Linked DNA regions of Arabidopsis thaliana. The protein of the gene in region 2 interacts with the protein of the main gene of each other region in a pairwise test. Each region holds a gene or a part of one and is shown on either strand. Other genes may lie near its edges.

What was found.
Region 1: the proteins of Fes1C (region 2) and CYTC-2 interact in a two-hybrid assay, tested with the Arabidopsis thaliana proteins (one large-scale study listed by BioGRID).

Annotation. Positions count from the first base shown.
Region 1 is NC_003075.7:6,275,226-6,280,915, reverse strand, and holds CYTC-2 (cytochrome c-2), read right to left. Parts: upstream 3,969-5,690; 5' UTR 3,834-3,968; coding exon 3,722-3,833; intron 3,533-3,721; coding exon 3,399-3,532; intron 2,728-3,398; coding exon 2,635-2,727; 3' UTR 2,294-2,634; downstream 1-2,293. UniProt on the Arabidopsis thaliana protein: Electron carrier protein. The oxidized form of the cytochrome c heme group can accept an electron from the heme group of the cytochrome c1 subunit of cytochrome reductase.
Region 2 is NC_003076.8:421,993-429,824, forward strand, and holds Fes1C (Fes1C), read right to left. Parts: upstream 4,387-7,832; 5' UTR 4,221-4,386; intron 4,125-4,220; exon of another isoform or gene 4,103-4,124; 5' UTR 4,077-4,102; coding exon 3,991-4,076; intron 3,798-3,990; exon of another isoform or gene 3,794-3,797; coding exon 3,651-3,793; intron 3,567-3,650; coding exon 3,516-3,566; intron 3,423-3,515; coding exon 3,201-3,422; intron 3,089-3,200; coding exon 2,986-3,088; intron 2,859-2,985; coding exon 2,489-2,858; downstream 1-2,488. Other genes in the region: AT5G02140 (Pathogenesis-related thaumatin superfamily protein), read left to right, coding at 1,392-1,446, 1,541-2,213, 2,289-2,445; AT5G02160 (uncharacterized protein), read left to right, coding at 4,400-4,647, 4,891-5,032; AT5G02170 (Transmembrane amino acid transporter family protein), read left to right, coding at 5,867-6,024, 6,121-6,392, 6,598-6,812, 6,902-6,925, 7,004-7,184, 7,267-7,486, 7,580-7,715, 7,809-7,832.

The DNA of each region.
Region 1 (5,690 bases), on a different chromosome or scaffold from region 2:
CAATTAAATTTGGACCTAAATATCCAAAACAACTAAACTATTCAAAAATTATTTATTATGTTTGTCAAAATTTAGTAAAATATATTCAGATATAATTAAATTTATTAAAACTTAACAAATTTAAAAGTTTTTTTTGTTTGGAGATGCGCTATCTACATACAAATTTACCGTTTCTATTTTTTTGGGTATTTTTAGGGTCTGAAACTTTTTATCCAAACTGACCCAAACCCAACTGGATCAGACCCGAACCAGAACCGAATATTTATAATTATTCTATTGGGTAGTAAATCATATACCCATTAATCCCAAACCCGAACGGGTTCTACCCGAACTCGAATGGGTTACTCATATGCCCAATATTCTCTGATTTAATTATCTAAAAACTCTTTAAAAAAAACATATGTTTTACTAACTACTTTTTATTCAAAAAAATTTAGTGTTTAAAAAAACATATTATTTAGTGTTTAAAATTATACACTTGTATTTTGATTGTTAATTTTAGAGTTTCACATGTAGTATACCATCTTGTATTAATATCGATTTAGGGCCTGACTGTTTTAAACGCAGCGGGTGCGGTTGCGGTTGCGGGAGTTTGCGGAAACGGGCGGTTGCGGTTTCAAGCGTTATCAAGCGTTTTGAAAATTCCTTATTGGGTAGAGTTTTAGTAAACCCGTGGATATCCGATTGGCCCGGAAATTACCCGTTACCCAAAAAGAGTATTCAAAAACCCAAACATTAATTTAACATCCAAAATATTAATTATATTTAATCGTAATATTATCTAATTATCTAAGATTATAATTATAAATCTAAATATGTCAATTAAATTTGGACCTAAATATCCAAAACAACTAAACTATTGAATGAATAAACAACGATGCTATGAAATAGTTAAAGAATTACACTAGCTAATGAATGAATAAAAGGATAGATGATAGTTATGTTTGATTCTTGATTTTGATTTTCATCGAATGCCATAATTGAGATAATAAGGTTACAATATATTGATTAAGGTTTTCTGATAAAAATAAGATATATAAAAGATTAGATTATTTTAATTATAGTGATTAGAATTTGGGTGGAAGCCACCATTATTTAATTTAATTAAAAAAATATTATTTTTTTAACCTAACCGCTACCGCCCGCAACCGCAAACGCTTGCGGGAAGGAGCTTTTGAAAACGGGCGATTTCGAGCGGTCCAAAGCGATGTCTAGCGGTTTCTATGATTGGTGTCAATCGCTAACAATCGCTACCAATCGCAAACGCTGCGTTTGCGGGTGGTAAAGGGAGAACCAATCAAGCCCTTAAACCCGTCAATTCTAGGATTTTCCAGCTTCTATTAAATATTGAATCACATCATACACATAAAAAAAATCTAATATGTTATTAATTATTGTAGTATATAAGATTAAAAATTTTTAAAATAATATGTATGAAATTGAATATAAATATTCAAATTATGACCCAATACTCAGTAGAAAATTTTCTTAAATCTATTTTTGATCCGTTATAATATTTTTTATGTATTGAACAGTTTATATTCGTTTTTAAAAATTCAAATTATGGTATATGCGAAGCAACTCTAATTATTTTTTTATAACGATGATATTATTTTTTCGCAAAAATAGAATCATATAAAGATGAGAGGTGAACTATAATAATTAATAAAAAATTAATATAAAATTTAGATATCAAATCTAATTTGTTGATTTTGATTGGTTACTTTTTTGGAAATTAATAATGTATTTCGTTTTTTAATTAAATTAGTATTTAACTTAAATTTTTAAAGAGATGAATTAATTTACTCTTTAAATTTTATTTCTAATGGCATACTTATGTAATTACTTACAAAGGTTATATTTAAAATGTACTTCCCAAATAATATAGTAGGATATCCCAATGATATTTAGACAAAGAAAAATAAAAAAACAGGTCAATCTTGCTTGCGAGTATTTGGGGAAGGAGTTTTGAGAGACAAACCAAGATCTCTGCAAGACTCTTCATTAGGCTGCAAGCTTCCAAGTAAAGAACCAAAAGCTGTTCTTGAAGCTTAAATGTGGCAAATGTTCTTGTGGGGTAATAAAATCTAATAATATGCATTAATTATAGAACCACTATGCTGCATAGGAATTCACTTTATATATGCATCTTAGGTGGTAAATAATCTTTTATGCCACTTATCATATGGCAACTCGTAATGATCCACCATTTTTATTTTATGCCAAAATGCTTCAACTTTATCTTCCAAAATGAATGTAACACTGTCAGATTTTCCTTTATGTTGTCTTTTATGTTCTACTGATTTAGCTGAATTATGCGCATCTCTTACGTATTTGTCTAATTATTGAAATGAAAATGAACAACTGAAAAAAAGATTCTAAACTCGTAACAAAAGTAGGCAAGTTGAATTAGGAAAATCTCATGACTATCGTGGTGGAAATTGGTTCTTAGCTCTTCACATCAATAACGAATATTCCACTTTATAAGAGGCAACTAGCCTCTTCAACAACGTAAAAAGAAAGAAAGAATAAAAGACCATACAAAAAGCAGTTCATGACCATAATATTTTTGGTCTGATTTTATTTAGCTGTGAGAAAAAAAAATGCCAGCTTCATATATCTGGACGAGCCTGTCTAAGCAGTACCTTCCTTCAAATAAGCGATGAGATCGGCACGATCTTGCGGTTTTTTCAGTCCAGGAAACACCATTTTTGTTCCAGGGATGTACTGTAACAAGCAAAGAAATTCCACACCAATTCAATCAAATTGAGATCTTATCTCTTCATAATTGCTCAAAAAGAAACAAGCGACCCAAAAGTGTGAAGAAAGGAGTCAGTATTAGCCAAACAGCATTTTCTTGACAGACAATATTATGTTTCGATATTCTAGAATATGCAATATAATAAATTGGAACACTGTTGAGATGATGATGCACACACAGGTTATGATGCACCAGCTTAAAGAGTGAAAGATGAATCATAAGATTTGTGGAAAATTCCACAAATCAGCTCAATAAAGAGACAATAGACAAGAGTGAAGGAAAGACTCAAGTATTAACCAAAACAAATGTTGCTAATTGCTTGATATTCTTGAACATGCAATAGAAAACAAATGGCACAACATTGAGATGTTGCACTTATTAGTGTACCATTTTGAAAGATGATGTCCAATTTCACAAATATGGAGATTTTTGCACCAAACCGAAATGAACAAACAAATTGTGTTTCTAGATCAACCTAACAATACTTAAGAAGGTATAAAGACTCATAATTCCTTTTGCAACAAATATTCTAAAACTAAAGACCACTAATCCACAAATTAGCTTATGAACAATCAAGAACCTTAATCACCAGACTCTATGATCGAAGTCCATTAAAGATTAAAGAGCAATCAAATACCTTCTTAGGATTCAACAAGTAATCGTAAAGAGTCTTCTCCTCCCAATTCACAGCCATGCTTTTGTTAGCAGCAGAGTAAGAATATCCTGGAGTTGTTCCAGATTGTCTTCCAAACAATCCATTCAAATTCGGTCCTGAATTCATAACAAAATTCCAAAATTCAAAATAAAGACATACGGATCCTAAACAAACACAAACGAAGATCAATACGAGAAAACGAAACGCATGTGGTAGATCCAGATTCGAACAAAGCGTAACCAAATAAAATCAAACGATGATGATACAGAATATTGTGGATCTAAGAGAGAATCAGAGGAACAGACCTTGTTTGTGACCGGCACCTTTCTCGACGGTGTGACACTGAGCGCACTTGGTTCTGAAGATCTTTTCACCGGCTTTGGGGTTTCCGGGAGGTGCTTCGTCGAACGACGCCATTGAAGAAGCAACAAGGAAGAAATATCAACGGTGGCTTTTTGACGGTTTCTGATTTTTTTTTGAAATGACCTTTTTTATGAGAAGTGAGAAAAAGAAGGTTCGAGGAGGCAGAAGAAAAATAGAGGTGGCGTGAGAGATACACAGGCCATACGTTTTGTTCTGGGTACACGTGGCGTCTAAATAGTGGTTTATTTTGAGTCGGTTGACTATTTATTTCTGTTTTTTTTTATTATTTTATAAAACTCGGTTTAGGAAGTGGGCTTACAAATGGGCTCAGAAAGTAAATATTCGGGCCTAAAATTCACATATTTGTTTTTTTTTATTTTTATTTTTTACAACCTTTATATTTATAACCCAAAAATATTTTCTTGACTACTATATATAGTTTTTTATTTAATGAAATATTATTTTTAGTGAAAAATAGTAAAAAAACAAAAAAGGTAGTTTTGCAAATCTCCCAAAGTAAAAGGTAATTTTAAGACGGGTTTTATTTACATTCCAACTTTCATTTTCACAGCTTTAATTTTCAAATTTCGTTGTAAACTCACTTCTCAAATAGTAATATTTAGAAGTTAACCAATTAATTAAAGAGGTATGCCAAAAGTGTTAAAAATAAAATACATATATACACACATGAAAATATGCAAGTCCATTCTTTTTTTTTCATTTATGGAAATCTATATTTGTCATTCTTTTAATTGTTTAAAAAGTTTAGTGAAACATTCAACTCACGATTGATAAATTTTCATGTTCTAGAAGTTTTATACACACCAAAGATATTATTATTTTCATATATGATATATCCAAATGTAATTCAAGTAAAAATGATTAAAAGTTTTATAAGTAAAATGAGTAACAAACTAACAATGACTCAACTATTTTTCAGGTAAAAAAAAGGAAAAATTAATAATCCTTATTTAACTCTAAAACTTTAGAGAAATTTGCAAAAATACCATTTTTCTCCTAATTATCTTTTTGTCCACTTTTACTCTTGGGCAGTTCGTTTTATTTCTTCTGCAAAATCTGTATCATCTTTGGATCCGAAAATATTGGAATATCATCACGATTTTAGAAATGAAATCAATTACTTCTTTAAGCAGACATGGATATTTTACTTTTGTCAGTTGCAGAACTCCATAGTTAAAGTTTGAAAGTGTTCTCGTCAATGATAAAACTTCAAATTCAACTTCAAAATAATTTGTATTTTGCATTATAGTTATCATATTGTTTAGTTCATAAAAGCTTATATATATAACTATAAAACATACATTAAATAAATATTATAAGCAAATTGATTAATAAATAAAACATTACATTACAATATAAAATTACATATAAATAATAATAATAAACTCACAAATTAAGTCACAACTTCCAAATAGAATACAAAAACACTGAATAAACTTGTGCATCATATGTACTCTCTAACATCACAATCTCTATAAATGTTTTCATTTCAAATCAATTTAAGTAGAGATGAGGGTGAATTAAATTTCATCACATTGTCCGAAAGTAATAAACCACATGTTAATATTTTGTTTTCATCAAATGAATAAATTCTTAATCTACTAATAAAAGTGCAGCAACTAAGGGAAAGAGCTATGAGATAGCTCAACAACATATGCAAAATCTAGCAAAATAAAAATAAAAATTAATGAGTTTATTCAGTTTGAACTACTAAGAATGATACCCAAAAACAAAATTCAAAAAAAAAAAAAAAAACATTCGATCACATCAAATTTGTATATATATAATACTTTGGTGACCTTTGTATTGTTGTAGTATTTTATTTCTTGTAACATTTATGTGTTCATGTAACTTTATTTCTTTTATTACTACATTTTGTATTAAATTTGT
Region 2 (7,832 bases):
CAGAAGTAAAGGTTTTACTCAGTAAACGTCGGCGGAGCTCTTCCTCGCCGTCGTCACTAAGAGTGGCCAATTTCAATCGGTATAATTTGAGTTTGGTTTGGAAAAATCGGTATAATTGGCTTGGTTTTGTGATAACCAAATAAACCAAAAATTGACCCAAAAGTTCCTCTAGAATTTTTTTTTTTTTTTTTTTTTTTTTTTTGTTGTTGTGGTTTTTAAAGAACTTATAATCCATTGTTGTATATGTTCACTTTGTAAATCATTGTGCAAATTCACTCTTTACATTTGCAATATGATTTGAAGTGTTATCTCAATTTGGTTTCATATGTTATTTTGCTTCAGCTTGAAGTAATATTGAGCAAGTAGTACTCATCAATATGTTATATGTATGTCTTGCAAGATACCTACCCACCAAAACCTTCAACCTCCCCACCTGTTATTAAAAGCAAGTCTATAGACTCTAGTGACATTCTTGGCTTCGATCTCTATTATTACCTTTCAAAAACCAACAAAATATTATAAGAACATTAAAAAGAGAATGATTTGTTTTGTGTAAATATAGCCTTTGTTTAAAAACAAAGCAAATCCTCTCATTGAAGTAATGCATATATGCTCTCTGCTGATTTGATGTACAAAGTGAAAAAGGTCATAGCAAAGGTAAGAAATGTTGGGACATGCTAGGCTACTAGCAAGTGATGAAGTTTATATACGCATAGATAACATATAACATAATTTTTGAAAGAAAAACAAACTGACATATAAAATCAAAAGTTCAAAACTCTAGTGAAGCACTCTAACATTTTCCTTATTACAATTTTCATATAGACTCAAAACAGTGAATTCAGGTGGTAACATTACGACATTATTACAAAAATTATAAAACTATATTCAAAAATATCAAATCAATTTCTAAGAATAATTAAAATGTTAGACAATGAGATTTTAGCTAGGTCTGAAAATTAGTTATGGATTGTAAAGTATAAACAAATTTGCCTTAAAGAAATGCAATGATGAAGAAATCTATGAGTGTTAATCTTTATCCAATAATAAACGTTTGAGAGACATATGAATCTTTCTCTTTTTCTTTAAATCCAACTTTAACCCATTCTTCATAGAAGAAGGCTCACGATCAAGCCTCCATATCTTTCTCTTTCCCACTAATCCCATGAAAGTCTCAGTTTATAAAACGTTAGCACTTGGCAGTTCCCTATACAACAATCCACTTCACCACACCAATATTAGTCTTGCAACCCAAGTTTCCACTTCTTCCTTCGACCACGACGTCCTCAACATATTCTTTATTAATATTCTCTTGAAAACAACCACAACACACACAAAAGCAAACTTTAGAAGTGATATATCCCCACACAACAACAACAACATCAACAACAATGACGAAATCTGCAACTCTATTCCTTCTCTTTCTCACTATCTCAGCCTTCACTGGTACGATATCTCTTCTCCTTCTCGATAATTTATGAAATGGGTTTTGTTTCTCGTTTTGATTCCTCTCAATAATAGTGACTTTGTTCTTTTGCAGATGGAGCTCAGCTTATAATAGTGAATAACTGCCAGGAGAGCATTTGGCCGGGAATTCTCGGCGGCGGAGGCCAAATCACACCAAGAAACGGCGGATTCCACATGGGAAGCGGCGAAGAAACCATCATAGACGTACCGGATAAATGGTCCGGTCGAATCTGGGGTAGACAAGGCTGCACCTTTAACCAAAACGGTAAAGGCTCATGCCAAACCGGAGACTGCAACGACGGCTCTATCAACTGCCAAGGAACCGGCGGTGTACCACCAGCAACCGTAGTAGAAATGACATTAGGCTCATCTTCCTCTCCGCTTCATTTCTACGACGTAAGTCTCGTCGACGGTTTCAATCTTCCGGTGTCGATGAAACCAATCGGCGGTGGAGTTGGATGTGGCGTTGCGGCTTGTGAAGTGAATTTGAACATTTGTTGTCCATCAGCTTTGGAAGTTAAGAGAGATGGGAAAGTGGTTGGTTGTAAAAGTGCTTGCTTGGCGATGCAATCGGCTAAGTATTGTTGCACCGGTGAATATGCGAATCCTCAGGCGTGTAAGCCGACTCTGTTCGCGAATCTGTTTAAAGCGATTTGTCCTAAAGCTTATAGTTATGCGTTTGATGATTCTAGTAGTTTGAATAAGTGTAGAGCTTCTCGTTATGTTATCACTTTCTGTCCTCCAAAGTGAGAGGCTTCTGATTTTTATGTTATGTTTATCATGCAGTAGCTTGATTTGGTACTTGTACGGTCTGTTTTTAGGTCATTGAATGAGAAACTGAGAAAATTTGAACTCAAAATAGAATCAAAATTTGGTCATTATACAGTGGTTACCATCCTTTTAACTAGTGTTCTAAAGACACAAGCTTTAGCTGGTGGGTCCAAAGACATAAAAGACGGTTTTAGTGCTTACTCATGATATAAGGAAGCACAGACGGTTTTGTCTCTTTGTATCTTTGTCTCTAAAGAGAAGAAGGTTCGTTGAAGATTGTGGTCCATAGTGAATCTAAGAGCTGCCTCTCCTCTTTAGCGGCTGATAGATCTTCTTGTGACATAAACAAGCTCATTGCTTTGACCCGGCTGATTGCTTTGATCCGATCTTTTAGAATCTGTCTGAGTCTCTCATCGCCTTTCACTATGCTAGAACCACAAGTACTACAGTCTTTTCTAGCTTTCACGAGCTCAAGCAATCCTCGAAGAGCAGCTTCTCTTACATCAGCATCGAAGCTAGACACGAGGTGCATCATCAAATGGTGAAGCCCGAATTCTATAGCAATATCGGAGTCTGAGTCATTCTCTTGTAGAAGATAATGCAACAAGTTTAAAGCTTTCCTGAAGAATGAGAAAGTAATGACAAAAGTTTTGAAAGTTAGACAACAGCAGAACAAAGGTTACAACTTTGTGTTCTCTCAAAGTTCAGAGGAATCCAAGCATGAAGAAAAGTGAAGAGTATTATTACCTTTGAAATCTCACACTATCAGTTTCCAAAGCATCTTTTAAACCAGAGTAACCATTTGCAATCCGGAAACCTGTGATCCCAGGTTTATTATTGCGAATCAAAGCTGTACCCCAAATTTACCACAATACATTCATCAGATTTACGATAGACATTTTTGTTTTTGAAAAAGGCATTCGACCATCTAAGTATATAGGATAGAACTCAGAGCAGCTTACATGATATTGCACCGAGAGCCTGTGTTCGAGAATGCATATCGGTGTCTGAAGTAAACCTTAAAAGCAAGGACTCTAAACCATTGGCTTCCATAACTGATTCTTGACTCCGAGGATTGTTCTCAACTATTGTGCTTACAACATCTGCAGACTTAGCCCGGATATTAGCATTGGAGTTTTTGAGGTAGCCAAGAAGAGGTACCAAGCCTCCAACGGAATGAAGATCTGCCCATACATTCAAAGAAGTACAAGTTAAGCCCAGCAATCAAAAGACAGATATAGAACAAAGTTACAAGGTCAAAGTATGAAAAGACTCACCATTAGCCATATCAATCGATTCAACATGTTCCTGCAACTCATCCAACAAACCTACCAAATCATCATAACTCAAAATCTTAGTAACCAACAAGAGAGAAAATAGCTAAGAAAACAATAGTGAACTCCATATTGAACCTTCAATATCTTGAGGGGTCACTTCATGAGCCTCCAAAACTTGTTGAGGTGTCTGCAATACCTGTGTAATCTCCTTCAACCGCTTGACTACATCTACCGTTTGTGATTGCATAGCTTCTGCAAACCATTTTCGATCCTCCTCACTGTCTAACCAAACAATTTCATATCATCAAAAACCATCTACCAAACAATACCAAATCAAATAGTCAAATTCCACTACATGATTCATTCCTCATAAGAAACTGACGCAGAACCACGCAAATTTCTAAAACAACCCAACAAACAACATAAGCTCCACTAAGTGACCAACAAAACCTGAAATTACAAAGAAACTTCGTACCTTAATTGGCAAGTAGGTCGAGTACCATCGGAGTGAGAGAGACTCCACTTAAGCAGACCGTCCCAGTTAGGTCCGTCTTTCGCCATTGAAGCAACGGAAGAAGAGAAAGACTCTGCGAAGGTCAGAGAGTCAGAGACAATGACAAATAGTTTGGGCCTTATGTTCACGCTAACTTAATAATGGGCTTAACAGGCCCAATTGTTAACTCGAAATATCTTGAAGGGGCCTACCTTATCCACACACAAAAGAAAACTGAAGAACCCCAAAAATCCCAAGTGAAAACGTTATCCACTTCGAGAGAGTGACACGTCACGAAGCAAATCCAAATTCAAAACCTTTCCATAAAAATCAAATCACTTCTTCTTATTACTTCCCCCAAATCGAAATCAGTCACTTAAAACCCTAAATTATGACGATCGCACCGGCATTGCAGACGACGTTCGTGTCATCAACCAACTTCCTGAAACATTCTTCTTCGTGGGGATCACCATCACCGAACAATGTGATTCTTCCCAAAAACAAGAGATCTTCTTCCTCCGTAGTTGTCGCCGCCGTCGGTGATGTCTCTTCTGACGGAACAATCTACTTAATCGGCGGAGCCATCGCCGTTGCACTCGTCGGAACTGCATTCCCGATCCTCTTCAAACGCAAAGACACGTAAACCACTCTCATCTTTTTACCTTGTGACTTAAACCGGTTTTAATGCTCGTTAAACCAAATTTTGACTGATCAATTGCAGATTATCATAGTTTATTGTCCGGTTCAACATTCGAATTATCTTAACCGGACTAAATCCTCTGTTATGGATTTTGAAAACGTACATAAACTCTTAGCCGATGTAGTAAACTGAATCAGAGATTGTACATTGTGAGTTTAAGCTCTGAAATGTGTGTGGTTTAGGTGTCCGGAATGTGACGGAGCAGGATTTGTGAGGAAAGGAGGAGTGACTCTGAGAGCCAACGCCGCACGGAAGGATCTTCCTCAGATCGTTTGTGCTAACTGCAATGGACTCGGAAAGCTTAACCAGATTGATAAATCATAAGTCTTCTTCATATATATGTAAAAAGCTCCATTTCTCATTCCTCTTCTTCTCTACAATATACCTCTGCAAAAGTAGATAGCTTGGAATGATCAATGGTTGCTTGGAGATGGGTGGATATATATATATATATATATATATACAATTGCTTTTTTATGTGTAAGTTTCTTTGCTTTCTTGTTCTGTAAGAAATTGTCTGAGTATTATTGTAAGTTTTTAAGCAGTTATAGACGAAGGTGCTCAGCTACCAAAATAAAACGAACAAAAAATAAATTTAACTGCTGCATAAGTAATTAGAGATGAACATTTAATGGCCAATTAATGACCCAACTGTCATTGGCTTCTTACATCACATGCATATCAACTAATCTTCATTACGTGTCTATTTCTGTGTTTTATAAATAACCTCGCCAGAAACGTTTTTATATTTTTTCAAGCAAATAGTATTATTGTATAAAAACTAAATTTTTTGTAAATGAACCTTACGCGTCAGAGTAGAAGATTCTTTGAATTGTTCTTGAAGTTTCTTAGATTTAGTAGTGATAGGATAATGGGACATTATTAAATTTATCTTATTGGTGGAATAATGGGAAAATCGTGAATTTGTTCATTAATACATTTAAATTATGGGGAAAAACAAATTCAGGGAGACATCATCATAGGTAAGGAGACTGCTAATTAAAGAATATAAAGAAACGTGACAATAATTTAGAACTTGAAAACAGAACACGTTTCGTTGCGTCCCCTAGTTGCTTCTTCTCAATCTTCTTCTTCTTCTTTTTAGACCTTTTGTTGGTTTTTGAAACAGAGCACAGTAGAAGAATACAAACAAAGTAGATGAAGCAAAACGAGACATTCGATCAAGAAAGGGAAGATTTGTATCACACGTTCGATGAGGAAGATGAAGAAAGCCAAACAGAGAGCTCCGTTCCCTCAACTCCTTTATCTCGTAACAGATCCGAAGACGTTCCCGTTCCGTGGCCTCGAAGTTATCGGTAAATCATTTTCTTTTTAAGTGCTCTGTTTTTGTAAGAGATCTGAAGAAATTATTCTTTAGAGAATAATTTTGGTGTTCTTGGGGATATTTTCAGACAATCTATGGATTTGTTGACTGGAGTTACACCTCCGACTAGTACAAGTTTTGTCTCTTCATTTCGCCAGAGACGACAAAGCTCTGTTTTCGGTTCGTTTACTTCTTCACCAAGCAAACAGCAACTTCTCATAGACAAAGACGAGATCCAAAGCTCTGTTGTGTCCTCCATCAAATCATTTCTTGCTTCTCATCTCCAGCTATCAGTCCCAGGGGATCTTTTAACTCCCCAAGAAAACCGCAGTTGCACATTCTCTCAATCCGTTCTCAACGGTAATAATTGCATTAGGAATGTTCAATCTGAGTTTTGGTTAGGTTTTCTCTGTTTTCCAAGATTAGTCAAATAATCAAACTGAAACCAAATCTGATATATATTGATGAACTGAGTTTACGTTTAGTATAGCATTAGTGCGAGAGTACTGAGTTTACGATTATCTTTTCTATTTAGATTGAGATTCTTAACATTCTCTTTTTGCAGGAATTAACGTTCTATGTGGAGTAGCTTTACTTACAATGCCTTACGCAGTTAAAGAAGGAGGATGGTTAGGGCTTTTCATACTCTTCTCCTTTGGCATTATCACTTTCTACACCGGCATTCTCCTCAAGAGATGTCTCGAGAACTCCCCTGGAATCCACACTTACCCGGACATCGGTCAAGCTGCATTCGGAACCACTGGACGCATCCTCGTCTCTGTAAGATTATTTTTCAAATAATCAATCTTAACTTTGTTTGTGTGTGAATTGTGATCCTAACTTAACTTGGGTTTGGAATTACATTTCAGATACTTCTCTACGTAGAGTTATACGTAAGTACCAAACTCTCTTTCATGTTTCATATCATGATTGAAGAAATTGAGGTCCTAACTTTGAATTTTTTTCTGTAGGCATCTTGTGTGGAATACATAATCATGATGAGTGATAATTTGTCAAGAATGTTCCCAAATACCTCCTTATACATCAACGGATTTTCTTTAGATTCTACTCAAGTTTTCGCCATTACCACGACTCTTATTGTTCTTCCTACTGTCTGGCTCAAAGACCTCAGCTTATTGTCCTATCTCTCAGGTTCATCTCGTAATTGGCACACACAACAATCTCTGAGATTTGAACTCTTTAATTAAATTTAAGAAATGTTTTGTTTCCTTAGCCGGAGGTGTCATCTCCTCAATCTTGCTTGCGCTTTGCCTCTTTTGGGCTGGATCAGTAGACGGGGTTGGATTTCACATAAGCGGACAAGCTCTTGATATAACTAACATACCTGTCGCAATCGGAATTTACGGGTTCGGTTTCGGGAGTCACTCTGTTTTCCCCAACATTTACTCATCCATGAAAGAACCTTCCAAGTTTCCTACGGTGCTTCTCATCAGGTAAAACAACTTTTGCTTATAGCGCAAGAAACCTCTAGGTCTAATTTTCATCACTTCTCATTTCATAAAATAATTGTTTGTTGCGTTATGTAGTTTTGCGTTTTGCACTCTATTTTACATTGCGGTAGCGGTTTGTGGATTCACGATGTTTGGTGATGCGATTCAATCCCAATTTACACTGAACATGCCACCACATTTCACCTCATCTAAAATCGCAGTCTGGACAGCGGTTAGATAACCTTCCAAATCAAGAATCTCAGACCTTCTTCACATTCTGTTCATAATAATTTTCTCTCAATTCCTATCTCATTTGTATGATTAGGTCGTAACACCAATGACGAAATAC